Linked DNA regions of Arabidopsis thaliana. The protein of the gene in region 2 interacts with the protein of the main gene of each other region in a pairwise test. Each region holds a gene or a part of one and is shown on either strand. Other genes may lie near its edges.

The links. The genes of interacting proteins can lie anywhere in the genome.
Region 1: the proteins of TCP4 (region 2) and AT4G29100 interact in binary tests that used the Arabidopsis thaliana proteins (3 or more experiments, as listed by UniProt).
Region 3: the proteins of TCP4 (region 2) and HSFB3 interact in binary tests that used the Arabidopsis thaliana proteins (3 or more experiments, as listed by UniProt).

What each region holds. Positions count from the first base shown.
Region 1 is NC_003075.7:14,339,040-14,345,540, reverse strand, and holds AT4G29100 (basic helix-loop-helix (bHLH) DNA-binding superfamily protein), read right to left. Parts: upstream 4,577-6,501; 5' UTR 4,402-4,576; coding exon 4,073-4,401; intron 3,838-4,072; coding exon 3,459-3,837; intron 3,189-3,458; coding exon 3,108-3,188; intron 2,477-3,107; coding exon 2,411-2,476; intron 2,252-2,410; coding exon 2,186-2,251; intron 1,918-2,185; coding exon 1,858-1,917; intron 1,703-1,857; coding exon 1,658-1,702; coding exon of another isoform or gene 1,616-1,657; exon of another isoform or gene 1,164-1,615; coding exon 966-1,163; 3' UTR 528-965; downstream 1-527.
Region 2 is NC_003074.8:5,060,097-5,064,712, reverse strand, and holds TCP4 (TCP family transcription factor 4), read right to left. Parts: upstream 3,033-4,616; 5' UTR 2,406-3,032; coding exon 1,143-2,405; 3' UTR 1,115-1,142; intron 1,033-1,114; 3' UTR 561-1,032; downstream 1-560. UniProt on the Arabidopsis thaliana protein: Transcription factor playing a pivotal role in the control of morphogenesis of shoot organs by negatively regulating the expression of boundary-specific genes such as CUC genes, probably through the induction of miRNA (e.g. miR164).
Region 3 is NC_003071.7:17,379,951-17,383,378, reverse strand, and holds HSFB3 (heat shock transcription factor B3), read right to left. Parts: upstream 1,733-3,428; 5' UTR 1,657-1,732; coding exon 1,360-1,656; intron 1,240-1,359; coding exon 802-1,239; 3' UTR 528-801; downstream 1-527. Other genes in the region: ABCA1 (ATP-binding cassette A1), read left to right, coding at 59-140. UniProt on the Arabidopsis thaliana protein: Transcriptional regulator that specifically binds DNA sequence 5'-AGAAnnTTCT-3' known as heat shock promoter elements (HSE).

The DNA.
Region 1 (6,501 bases), on a different chromosome or scaffold from region 2:
TTTTCTAAGTCTCAACAGTCGAATTCATGATTCACAAAATAACCAAACCTTCAATTTATAATCGTTTCCAATCCCAAAATCAAGCCATGGACGCCAAGAACACCAAAGCTGATGGAGCCAAGAATTTTGGTACGAGTGGCGGAAGCGGTGGTTCTGGTAGCACTTCCGACATCGGTAAAACAATGGTTGCTCCTGGATCTGGTGGACGACAAAGCGTTTAGAGGGAGGCTTTTGAGAGCAACCCTAAGAAGTTCTTTGATGATCGTAACTTCAAAGAGAAGAAATGAACCGTTTAAATGAAGAGCAAGTTCTCAAAAAGTGATGATATATCTTGTTTCTTATTTTCTTCTTTGTTAGTGATCCTCCAAGGCTCCACTAGTTCACACATATGGTGGAGTGAAGTAAAATAATTATCAATAATAATTAATAAGATTCATAATTTCTGAACTTTTTCGTTCTTTTTCTTTTTTCATTGTGGATGATCATTTACGTGAATTAAGAACTACGCATGAAAAAGGCAAACGAAGTAACTTATATCGATATTTTCCGGCACACTTTTTTATTTTAATGGTCTGCATGTCGTATATATCCCACACAATAGACATATTATAAGTAATAGCAAAATTATAACGATACAAACCACGTGGAAGTAATTAAAATAAGTACTTAACCACAAATTACAATTAACCGGTAAAAGAAAACAAACAGTTTCCTAAAGCAAGAACATAAATTGATCACTTGGTCATATCATCTGATAACGCATCAAATGATGAAACGCCAAACGCATATTCATCAGACGCCAGACGCAAATTCTCTAGCAAAGTTTTAAACGAAGAACTTTGTATAGCATCATGAGCAATCAGCCTTGGAAACTCAATTTGTTGTTTTCTCAGTAGACTGACTGCTCGTGATGTTATATCATTTTTCTCTAACGCTGGAATTCCACGTGGCGTAATTTCATTGGCTCAATGGAAACCGGCGGAGCCAAGTGCTGGAGCCCAATAGTCCGCGCCGTTGTCGCTGCCTACTTGGAGTGTGCATGAGATTGGGACAAGACATAAACCTCGACTTCTCAGATCTTTCTTAGGCTCTTCACTTGCATTTTGATTGTCCGTAGATGACGACGAAGCTCCTCTTCTCTTCATGCACTGATCGTTCACGAGCTAAAACCATATCAAAAAAAAAAAAAAACAATCATGATATATAGCATTGATTAACAAAAAAAGTAAACACATGTTCTCTAACACCTATATAAAGAGGTGATAAGAAAAAAAATCATTGAATTTCCCCTAGTGAAAAGCATATATAAAACCCCGCCAAAGGAATTTGAATTTCACTTAGATGAAGAAAACAAGTAAGGAGAAAAAGTTGATATTTAAATAAATTTAGTGGCTTTGTTGGTTTTAACGAACTTTTTTGGTTTATAATAATGTAAGGGAGGGTGAAAAAAAAGCTGGCCGCTGCATCTTTTAATATTAATCCAACTTTACTTTAAAGAAAACAGTAGAAAAGAAAAAAAACAAAAGAAAAAAAAGGATAAATTTTGGAAACTAAAGCTGTCCACATTTTTTAGATTTGGATTCAATTGATCCAATAAAAAGTATAGTGACTCTAATTATATATTAAAAGTATAGTGACCAAGAAAAAATGGACGTACCTGACCAGGGTCCTCAGGAAATATGCAACTCCTATCTCCTTGCAACTATTCATATAAACCATAGTTAAGACTTAAGAGATAATATATAAGTATAAAAAGTTTCGTGTAGGTTATCGAAAAAGAAGAAGTTAAGGGTATAAAACGATAGCATGATGATTTGTTTGTGTATATCAGTATATATACGAAAATTTGCTACTTACATGTTGTTGGTGCCTCATATTCCCCGAGGCAGTCGTACCAAAGTATGGATGACTCAGAGCCTGCAACAGTGCAACAGTTGCAAAAAGTCATAAATACTTTATATATAATCACATCAATCAAATATTACTTAACATGGAGAGAACAAAACTTTATACTACTATCTTTATTCTTTCTTATATAATATCATTATGCTTTATTCTGTAATTTATTTCTCAGTAATCACAACCTTTTTTTCTTCTTTTTTTTTTTGGTAAACGGAGTAATCATAAGCATTATTTTTATTTTACTGAATGAGAATATTTGGAGTTTGGAAAAGACGAGTCACACCTCAATTTGACTCTGAAGGAATCTAATGTATCCAATAGCTTCCGACAGGACAGAGGCTGTGTCAGTCTGCAAAAGATGGGTAAAAAGGGATGAAGAATGATTTAGATTTTAGATTAACAAGAATGAAACTAAAAAAATCTCCACAATTAATGTTAAAAGTTGATTTGATAGAGGAATATTAGACGACATTAATAAATTTGATTTGTTAATGGAATCGATCTTTACCTTTCCAAATGGAGATACTAGCTGATGAAGCGCTGCGATTCGGCCTCCTAGTTTCTCCTTTCTCACCTTTAATTACCACCATAGATTAATTAATAGCATCAATTAAAAAGCTTTCTATATATATGTGCATGTGTGGTCATATTATTTTTACTAATTACCATGCATAGAGAAAACGTGCTTACTTAGCATGTACAAGTGATAAACAATTATTTTACTTTCACTAGTATATATAATTATCATGATATTATTGAATCCAATGTCTAATGCGACTCTTCCATTTCTACGTTTCAAAACAAGTTACAGAAAAAAACAAAACTTTTAAATCTCTTTTTTTTTTTGACAGAACTTTGAAATCTCTCAAAATGTCCATATTCTATAAAATAAAATTTATTACATATAGTGTCGTCTAATTCTAAGGAGAATGTTGAAATTTATTAATTTAAGTTTGATTTTTATGAAATAAAGAGAGGAAAGGAATATTGAAGAATGAAGAAGAAGACAAAACAGGAGAGAACAAAAGAGTTACAAAACACAAAACCACACAGCTTATTCTGTGCCCATTCTGTTTTGTTTGCTTCTTCTGTTCTCCTTTGTGTTTGTGTTTTTGTTTTGTTAGTATGATGTCAGGGAGGGAATTTATATACAGAAAACGTTATATAAGTTATCCAAAGTTTCGTTGATATAATCAATTAGTTACCTTGAGGGTTGATTGTGACGAAGGAGAAGGTTGGAGCCTTGGCTTCTTATTAGTAGACCCACCAATCTCTAAGCTGTTACACTGCATCACATATATAGATAACAAACAAAACAAAGATCAATTAGTCATTTAATCAAAAAAAATTCAGAGCAAAACTCATCCTGGTTGCGTGTTGAATTTAGATCCAAACCTTAAAATAAAATATGTTGTCCTGATCTTTTTAAATGACGTTTTAGATTTCACTTTTTCATAGTAGTTGATGTGTTTACTAATTTATGTGTAAAACTAGATATTATTTCCGAGCTTTTTCCGTATATTATCAAAATCTCTGAGATGTGGAAAAAGTGTTACCTCAGAGGATCGATCCGGAGGAGTGTGTCTCCCTTCTGACAAGTGAAGACCATTGTGATTGCTAGAGAAATCCAACATATTATTATTGTTGTTGATGTTATCGTCGTTACTATTGAGGCTTGTTGTGGTAGTTGTTGTAACACAAGATTTGTTAGGAGGTGAGTTCGGGGAAGATATGACATAGCCATTGTTGTTGTTAATGTTACCCTCTTGTTTGATGTCAACAGCCACCATGGAAGCTTGTTGGTGGCTTAACACTTGTTCTTCCCAATTCTCCAATCTTATCTTCCCTTGAAAACCATGGTGTTGTTGTTCATCATGATGATTATGATGGTTCATCATCTCCAATCTCTCTTCCTCTCCCATCATCAATCCACCCCTAAGTTCACAAAGAAAATATCCAAAATATTAGATTGTTTGTTTGATACTTAAAATACAAACACATACATGTATATACGTATATACGTATAACAAAAAGGTAATTAGGACTAAGTAGCAACACACGAGAAAACAAAGAGTGAACTAGTAAGTAAACACAAGATCATGTCATGTGCGTATAGAGAATATTTCATTTTGGAATATTTATAGAGGGAGAGAGATAGAGGGATAGTTACAAAAGAAGTTGGCTAAGGCTCCAAGACTCAGGAGGGAGATCATTGCTTTCAAGCCAAGAAGAGAGATTAGGGTTATTAGGCAAAGACGGTGAAGAAGAAGAGGAAGAAGAAGAAGTCGCCGGAGATGGCAAGAAGTGCGGGAAGGGAGTGGGCATCATCCGTGGTCGGAGATAATTGTTATTAGGAGTCATATGTGGTGGCAACGGCGCCTGCTGATGACCCATCAACGGTGGTGGTGGCCTCATGCCGCCGCTTACGTTCCACCAATTAGGGTTTCCGGCTGCCATCAGCTGCTGAACCGGCGAACTCTCCAACACACCTCTATTCATCACCTTTTATCTCTACTCTCTCTCTCTCTATAGATCTCTTTATGTGTTTACTAATCAGAGGCTTTGGAGAAACGTTGAGAAGTGTTTGATTCTTTAGCTTAAGTAGTTTTAGAGAAGAGAAAGAGAGAGAAAACTCAAAACTAACTTAAATTTTGATCTCATTTGATAACATGTGATGTTAATTTTTTTGGAATTTTTATTTTTGTTTTTTAATTTTGTCTTTTTCCTCCCTCTTTTTTTCGTTCCTTTAATTTTTCTTTTCTATTTTTTTAGATTTATTTGATTGTATATCATATATTTACTTTTTTCCCATGCTTTTTTCCATGCTTTAGCTTTATCTTAAAGTGGGGCAGAGAAAGGTGGTAGCTACTTTTATTATTTAAATTAATACATGAGTTGAGAAAACAAGCAGAAAATATTTTTAAATCAAAGAAAAGGATTATTCGAATATTTTATATACGGTGTATAAATTTTTCGAATATATATTACATATAATTAAATAAATTTTTGGTTATATCACAACTCACAAGTGTCTTGCATCTATGATCTATGCATTCGCCTTTTGATCGAATGTAAATGAATTATCCTTTTTTTTATCCCTATTTTTTTCATTCTTGTAACTTGTTGAATTTTGTTTTTCTGATTAGTAAGATTGCTTCTTTGATCTAACGGTTTAGATTAGCTAACTAGTTCTAAACTTGCAATGATTATATCCTGGGCCAAATACTAGTGTTTTTATTTATAGGTACTAGCCGAGCCAACAATATTTTTTTCTTTCTTTTTGCTTATTTCCTCACTGTATACTAATTAAAAGTGACAAAAAAATTCAATAAAATACGACGGCGTCGTTGTATTATATGTCACATATACCTTTAAAATCACGCAGCTATATGCTTTTTTTAATAACATAGTAATGTTTGTACTTTTAGTTTATTAGTATTTGTTTGTTTTGTTTTGTTAAATAAGTACTTGAATTCGTTAGTATGGACTTTAAAGAACACTGAGTAATAGCATTTATAAATGATTCCAATAATAAAAACTATAATTTTATAGAATAAAATAATAATAATTCCATAGTCAAAAATCATATCCAATTACAAAAAGGTAAGAAAATTAAAGACAAGAACGATTCTGGTATTATTTTCAACGAAAGATTCTATTTTTGCTGACGTAAAAAGTACTGAATTGTGTTGCGTAGGGTTTTCTGTAATTGTAACAATGCAAATACATCTAACGAACTCTGTACTTAACTAATCAATTACATAAAAACGAGTCACAACGTCGGTATGCGACTTTATTACATTTTTTTTTTCACTGCGACTTTATTACATATATGATCAAGTTGCTCTCAACATTTTTATATAATAATTAATTAGCAAAAAAAAACATTTTCTAAAAGTGATACTATATATATATATTTTTTCTCTCATTTTCGTTGAAAGGTAAAGGTAAGAACATATATGTCTTGATATCATTTCATCGTGGAATAAAGTCACTGTGGATTTTTGTATATTGTGTTTTGAAAAATATTCTCAAAGATGTTTTCAGCGTATGGAAGATGTTAGTATCAAAATAACAAAATATTTTTAACATAAACTGAGGACAAAAATTATGAGACATGTAAAAAAAAAAACTTATTTTGCAAAATTTTTAAAACATGTTATTTTAAAAAACTAAGTATAATCTTAATCAACGACTATAATTACCTTTACAGTTTTCTTTTTACTGATAATATAAAAAATATATTTCAAATCAGAGAAATTTTGTTAAAACTGTTTACTATATGTTAAATGTTCCTTGTCCTAAAATAAATAGATATACTAAACATTCTTAACATGACATAGTATTTTTTGGATTGTGTATTTACTTTAGAATGAAAAAATGTATCAAACAGTTTTCTATAGATAAGCGTAATAAAATATGTGCACATGTAGGTGCGATTGTATTTGTGTGTATACAAACAATTGTTCGTTCTTTATTTCACTCTGTTAGACACAAGATGACGAGAGCATTGTGTCATATGACGCATACACTTAATTTTAAATTCTAACCTGAACGAGTCATTTTTTTTGTCCAAGCATGATCAGAAAAATACAAATT
Region 2 (4,616 bases):
GTAGATTGGATATGATCTTTGTGTCATGACTCATTAGACCTTTAAATTGAAGATTCTTCTTTTCTATCTTTTGATGTAAACGTACTTTATGATATCTCAACTCATCCATCTGGTGTGTTTTGATTACATCACATGAAAAGGTGTTGCTGCTTTTCTATTAAAAGGTAAAGTTAAATATTCTTATAATACACATGCATTTAGACCCCAAGTGTTTTTGACTAAACTTTGCAAAAATCCAATATTATTATCAAAAGATGATGATGATAGAGAAGATAGACTAGTTTTGATCAACTTCCTTCATTTAGACCAACATGGGTGGCTCTCTTTACCTATCTCATGTCCCCATTCTTTTACTCATCAAAGACAACATCACATTCAAGTTTGGTGGATCTCCTCCTACCACTAAAGTAGGTGAGAGAGAACAATTATTGACATCAGACATAGAAAACAATAATCATATTTTTACTCTTAGTGAGCTAAGTTTCACTTGTAATTTAAGGGAACTGGCTAAATCCCCCTGATGTTCCAGAAGAAGAAACAATTCAAAACTTACTGTTCATGGAAAATGACCAACTTATATCTCTTGGGACCAAAAGATTACGTGAGAAATAGGAATCTCATGTTGTTTAAATAACAAGGATCTAGCCTGAACAGAGCAGTAAAAGTAAAACCCAAAGAGAAAGTTTCAGACTTTATTAGAACATCCACGGAGTTACACAATAAGAACAGGGAGCAGTAACAATAGGATGATGATGATACAAAGTTACAAACATAACACAACAAGACGAAACCTTGGAATCTAACCATAATTGAGCTACAGAAGAACGTTGGTCTAACTGGTGAAAATATGAAAAATTACAATCGGCAAGGTTAAGATATTGGAAGAAGAAGAAGAAGAACCTGAAACTGTTGTTCTTTCTTCATTTCCTTGCGTTTTCTAGATTCAGGCCATTGACTACACAAACCGAGAACACCTTCCCTGTTCCGGACAATCTAAGTCAAGCTTCAATGTGCATGGAAGCTAGACAAGCCCTGCAAAATGGTTTAAAGTTCAATGACCAAAGAAGTACAAAAGTAGTGAATTTGATGTAAAAGGACAGAACTTGAGATAAACCTGAAACTTAGAGGATTAGTTTCGATTGTCAATGGCGAGAAATAGAGGAAGCAGAGGACGGCTTGTGAGTGAGACCGTCGTGCTGCTCCTCTTCTTGGCCCTGAAACCGTGCTGGTATGCGAAAACCCGAAGAGAATTCACCTGAGGCGAATCCGATTCCGGGGATTGCTGATTGGTGAACCGGTGGAGGAAGGTGATGGTGGTGGTTGAGATCGTCGGTGGAGATGGATTGGTGATGATGGTGAGGATCAAACCAAGCACGGATCATGGGACTGTAACTGGACTGAAGGGGACCCCTCTGAGAATAAAGCTGTTGGCTTTGGCCAAGAACTGGCTGAAACGACGTCGTTGAAGGAGTAGGAGGAGCGAACAGAAACCCTCCTCCGTTTCCTGTATCGGTTGCTCCGCCGCCACCGCCGCTGTTCCAAGCCACTAGTCTCTGAATCCTTCCGAATTCCGACGACTGCTGCTCCCAACTCGATGTGTCAAACCCTAACGGATTGCTCTGTCCGTAGAACAGAGTAGGCTCGGAGGCGGAAGCAGAGGTGTGGTGGTGATGTTGGTGGTGCAGAAGCGACGGTGGACCATCCGGGAACGATTGCAGCGAGAGACGGAGATCTTGGTTTTGGCTATTAGTTCGAGAAAGCAAATCCGGCGGATGCTGATGATGATAGTTGTGCATAAGGTTATGATTCGAAGGAGCCTCCGTTGAAGAGCCAATCACCGGAAAAAACGACTTTATAGTGTCAGCTATCGAATCTGAATCCATTGACGGCGGGAGAAAACTCGACTCGTTGTTACTCGGATGCTCTGCTCCTCCTCCGTTGAAGCCAACACCGAACTGAAGCTGTTGTTGTTGTTGTTGCTGTTGCGGCGGTGGCGGAGACGGAGAGATTTGGGTTTTGGCGGTGGTTCTTCTGGGTTTAGCGTTAGCAGCGGCTAGGCGAATTGCATCGGCGGGATTCCAGGGAGGAAGCTCAGCGAGCTCGTCAATGGAAGTCTTAGCCTTTTTGATAAGCCAATCAACGGCTTTGCTAGGTCGGTCGAAACCAAGCCTGTCTTGAACATCGTAAAACTGAATCGCCGTGTGAGCAGAGAGTCTCACGCGCCGGTCACGTGGCCCTTTAGCCGTGCAGACTTTGCTGTGGCGGTCTTTTCTTCCGGTAGACCGAACAATGTGACCACCTTGCACCTCAACAATCTCGCCGCAGCCGCCGTCCGCCGCATCCGACGTAGAACGGTGCCTCATTGAAGAAGGAGGCGGCGGGTGATGGAATTGGTCGTCAGACATTGGTAGAGCATATTCGTCGAGACGGCGGCGGCGGCGGCGACGGTGGTCGTCGTTAGAGGGTGAGGAATCCAGAGTAACTCAAAAAGGATGAAACTCCCGCATACTTGCTCTCCTCACCTCAAAACCCTAACCCTAAAAACAATCCTAAGAAGAAGAGGTTTAGTGAAAATTGTGGACTAACCCATATTTGAGAGAATCTCTCTCTTTTTTTCTATAGCTTAAAGTCTCTCTCTATTGTTTGGTCTGTGTAGTAAATAGAAAACGCAAGAAGGAGACCAAAGAGATGAAGCAAGCAAAGCAAGCGAAGGTGAGAGAGAGAAGAGAGAAAGGGAGATGTGTAATTGACCAATCAAGAAAAACCCAGAGAAAGCTTTTCTTTTTATTTTTCTCTCTCGGGAAAATGGTTAAAGAGAAAAAGTAAAATAAGCAGAAGGAAGAGGGAAGAGGAAGAGAGTGTTGTGGGTTTGATGATGACGCAACTGGGTAAGATGACAGTAAGTGTTTTTTTCCTCTCATCTCCACATTCAATACTTTTATTTTTTCTTTCTTTCTTTTTTGGGTAACCAAAGCTTCCTCGTTTCCCAAATTTATTCATTTTTTTCCATTCTTTGTTTAAAAAAAAAATCTGATTGTTATAAGGTTTTAACAGTAAGTATTCATTTTGTTCATGTTAATTTTTAAAATCAATGTTTAACTTAATGTGTAGATGCAAATACAACCAAATAATAATCAACACAATCATAAACTAAATTGTAGGATGCCAAAATATTAGAAAAAAAATAATAATAATAATAATGATGGTTTTTAGAGTTAGATGTTTCCAAAACCAAATTTGTTTACCAAAATAATAGTATAGGATTTGTTATGTGCATGCAAATCATTATGTTATTTTCTAAGAGAATACATTAAACAGACTACTTTAATTTAGTGTGATATAAAAATACTAAGATGTGTTAAAACATCTACTTTTGGTCAGAGTTACTAACTTCCTTGATATGAAAATGGGCACTCTTTTCGTGGACATGTCCACATACATACATAATCATGGGGATTATATACTTAAAAAGTTGAAATCACTGGAATGAACTAGCTACTTTATTTTTCGAGTTTCCGAATTCAATAAATGAATAAATACCCTAAAAACCTATGGTGTTAGATGGGTCAAGGTTCAATTCAACCTTTTGTGCTTCTCGGTTTCTTTTAAGGGTTGACCCATGCTAGTTCAATGCAAATACATAAAGCTTGTTGATGCTCCACTTCTTTTTACCTTTTTGTTGTAAGAATCTCAATAGTTAACTAAAGTAGATTTTATTCGAAAAATCGAACTCGTTAAAAGAAGAATATAATATTAGTTAGCAATACAATTAGGGCTCTTTATAATCTAAGATTTTCTTTTTTCATCTCTCATCTTCGTTTTTGATGTTTTTGTTTTTTGCAATCCTGTTTTAGATTCTATAAACTAGTAACAAACACAATAAGACTCTCGTTATTCTTTGTTCTAAAATCCAATACTTCTTTTCTAGCTATTTTGACTTGTGGAACTAATTGATTTCACCGTATCGTGTTCGTGTGCATATCACCCAAATTCATATATGAAAGGTATTTTGAAATTGAAGAATACGACGTATAAATAAACTAATAAAGGTGAGTAAAAGACAATCTAAGCTTCAACGGAGACATTTCTAAGATCTTGAGAATTTTACGAGTTCAAAAATAATTGGTGGGACTCTATAATAATAGTATAATGCTTCTTGAATCCCAACCAATTTGACTATAACTCTCACAACTAATTCATGTATGGAATATATTGTGGTTATAATACTTGTACCACAAAATATCTCCAGATTGGTGAAAAACGAATAAATACAACAAACCTATTATATTGTTCACACAATTTTGTAGCATATTAAATTTGAACACACGTACGGTAAGCTAACGTAATTTTCAAGTAGTTGAATATGTTTTTTCTTCAAAGCAATAATAAAAACTTGACGCAAAGGATCATAACTATATAATTTTTTAGTTGGAAAAATATATATAGTATACAGCATTATTTGATAGTTTAAAACTATTCATATAAATAATTACTATTAGACCACCTACTTTAATGTAATAATAAATCAGAAAGTGACATATTAGCATGATAGAAAAGGGTCAATTAACAAACCTAATACGAACACAATAAAATAATTAATCAAACAAAACAAAATA
Region 3 (3,428 bases), on a different chromosome or scaffold from region 2:
CCACACAACATCAGTCTTTGTAAGTCTGAGGAAAGAAATTTGCTTCATTCTATGGCAGGAATCGGCTGGGAATAGCTGAATACAGTATAAGTCAATCCACACTTGAGACCATATTCAATCATTTTGCAGCTAACTCATAGCCAGTGAAACCATTATTGCGGCTTGTACAACAAAAACCCTTTGTGACCATAGCCCAAAGAGAGATCTGATCACTTATTATAATCTCATCTGCGTACTCAACATAGTTGTAAATATGACATATACATGAGAAACCTGTGGTCTTAATGTCTATATACATGATGCCTCATATTTTATCTTCCATCAACTAAAAATCTGGAAAAAACCCTAATGTGCCGTATGTTCTGGCCTAAATTCGAAATAAGAGAATGCCAATCTTTTACTTCTAGTTCTAGGCCTGCTTTGAGAGTTGAAAGTTGAGAGTTGAGATTTACCAAAATTCAACCATTTTGCAGCTAGTGATACCATTATTAACGCGGCTTACATAACCAAAATCATCCTGACCACAGCCCAAAGTGAGATGTAACTCATCTCATCTACCCAAAATAGTTTTAAATTTCGCAAATACATGAGAAAACGTTCTCTTAGTTAATGGCTATATATATACACACGATGTACCATGTTATGAACACGAGACTTAACCAATACAGCAAAGAATCCGATATTTCTCGGACATATGTTCTGATCTTGCATGTCTTAAAAGAGTACTATATATAGTTATGCAAAACTTCTAAGAATATGAAGAAACTGGTATATTACGAATATCAATCTAGCAATCTAGTTTCATTCAAGTTTTACTCCGAACAACTTAAGCCCTTCATCTTCTTCATCATCACTTTCATCAGTTGCATCTTCGTCTTCTCCTCTGTATCTCTCCACCAACTCCATAAGCTGCTTGCATTTCTTCTTGGTTTTCCCAAGTTCGCAGCTTAATAACTCGTTTTCATTCTTCAAGCATTTGTTTTCGTCGAGTAATGCAGTGTATACGAAAGAGGATGAAGTGGCGGAAGACTGTTGATCCTCATGGTGATGATCAATCCCAATCCGTTGATGACCTTCTTGATTCACCATCGTTGTTGTTGGTACAACCTGGTGATTAGACTTGTTGTGTGACCAATGTTGGCTCTTCCTTCTTCGGATATTGCTCATAAGCTCTCTTTGCCCCTTTCGAAACATCTCATTACTAAATTCCCATCTTATCGTCGTTACTTTTCGAAAACCCTATAATATTTTTGTAACAACACTCATTAATGCCTTTAATTAAGCAAATACACTTAGTAAACTCAAAGAAACACAAATAGTTTAAAATACTGATTGAAACAGTGAAGCATATATACGTACGTAAGTATTGAGCTGGCGAACGAAGCTAGAGAAGTTGCAATGCTTGAAAAGTGTTGGTAACAGATCTCTAGCGAATTCTGCCGGCTGCCACACGACGAAACCAGTTCCGTATTCGTTCCAAGATATAACCCCGTCCGTCGTCGGATCCTCCACCACTTTGTATGTCTTTACCAAGAACGGTGGAGGCGGCTGTAGCTCCGCCGTGGATGTTGAGTTTCCGATCATAAACTCCAATGGCAAACGCTCCTCGTCGTTAACGTTATCGTTACACCGTAAATGTTCACCAGCATCTTCCATATATAAAACGAAAATTATTATTCTTGAAGAAAACAAGTAGTAGAAGATCTCAAACTAGAAAGACGTAACACGACTCCATAGAAAGAGATAGAGACGTTATTTAATTTAATTAGGTGGTTGAGACAATAATAGAAATACTTTAACAAAAGAAAACAATAATAGAAATACTTTGAACAATTTTCAAGGAACGTACGCTTCTAACTATTTACATATTCTATAGAATATGTAACTCTAACACTAACATGCATATAATCATGATGCATACACACACACACGATTGTGTTTGTAAATATATTTTTCTTATATCAAATGAAAATCGATGTTTGATGACAATATGACATGTAATTTTTCAGGTTTGAAACCAACCATCGATAATATTTACGTCGAATCCACTATACGACATAACTCTTTTTTTTCTCAAACACAACGCTCGTCTCTAACATGTATAACTAACGACATTTTGCTTTTAATTTTAGAATGATATTGGATTACTTTACCCCCAAAAAAACTGATATCAACTTAATTTGTATAGTTGATATTTAGTACTGGTCTTAAGTTTTTCAGGGAAACTGCAGTAGTCGTTGCTTTTACCAACCGAGCTATATTGTCAATATAATTTTAGTTGTAACGTGTGTGTTTGATTAGACGTATAGGAAACAAACGAAAAATGATTTTAAAAAAAATATTAATCACGAGGTATATATGTGAATACACATATATTAATGTATGTTGGTAAAATTGGATATTGTGATATGAAGCAACTCGTTTGGACCCCCTTTAGGTGAGGTGGTACTATCAATTTACGAAACGCAAATCATGCATATTATTCATCATGTCTACCTATATTTGTAAGATTTAGTTTTCTCTAATGATTAATCAAGTACTATCATTAGTAAAATCTCTCGAATATATAATATGGATTGCAAAAATATCACATTAATTACCAATCTTTTTTTCTCTATAAAGTACCAGTTAAAATACCACATAGCAGAAGTTATATTCTTAAACAGATCGTTTTCTAAATTTCATGTTAAATTATATTCAAAGTACAAATCTTTTGTAATGGTATTTTTAAAAATGATTATAAACTTGATATTTCATATAGTTAGTTTTGTTGTTTTGTAGGATCATGTAAATTGCTCGTTTTTCAAAATTGATGACTATCTATCTTTTTGACTATACATGCTTTGTCTAATTGTATGTTACTTTCGACACCTTAATTTGTTGATAATATATAAACAAGTGCTTAAAAGAGTATATATAGAAAAAGTAAGGGGGTTCAGTTGATCTGAATGGAAAGTTAAAAAAGTGATCATTCATCACGGTCGAATTTGATCATATATATAAGTTTATGGTAACGTATAACGGTAAAAGCCAGTAAATTTATAGAAGGAATTCCAAATTAAATAATTCTTTAAAATTTCAGTTGAATAAAAGTTCCCAAAGTTAAAATCTTTTTTTTTTTCCAAGACATAATCAAGTAACTTAAGTAAATGTCGGTTTTAGCACAATAATGCAAGAAAGGAAACCTTTAGATCTCTATTGGTCAAAGTAGGGGACAGTGATGTAATTCAAGTCATCGATCTACTGACTACTGGTGTTTGAAGGGGATTACCGACAATGTTCCTATGACGGCGCGTACCTTCCACGCGTCTGTAAAAGAGAGAGACAACTAATAATACAAATCCTAACGCTTAAGCTCTACTATATCGTTTTAACAGTAGTGATCCATATATATGTCCTGTTGAAATTATTTGTTGAACAATAAGATT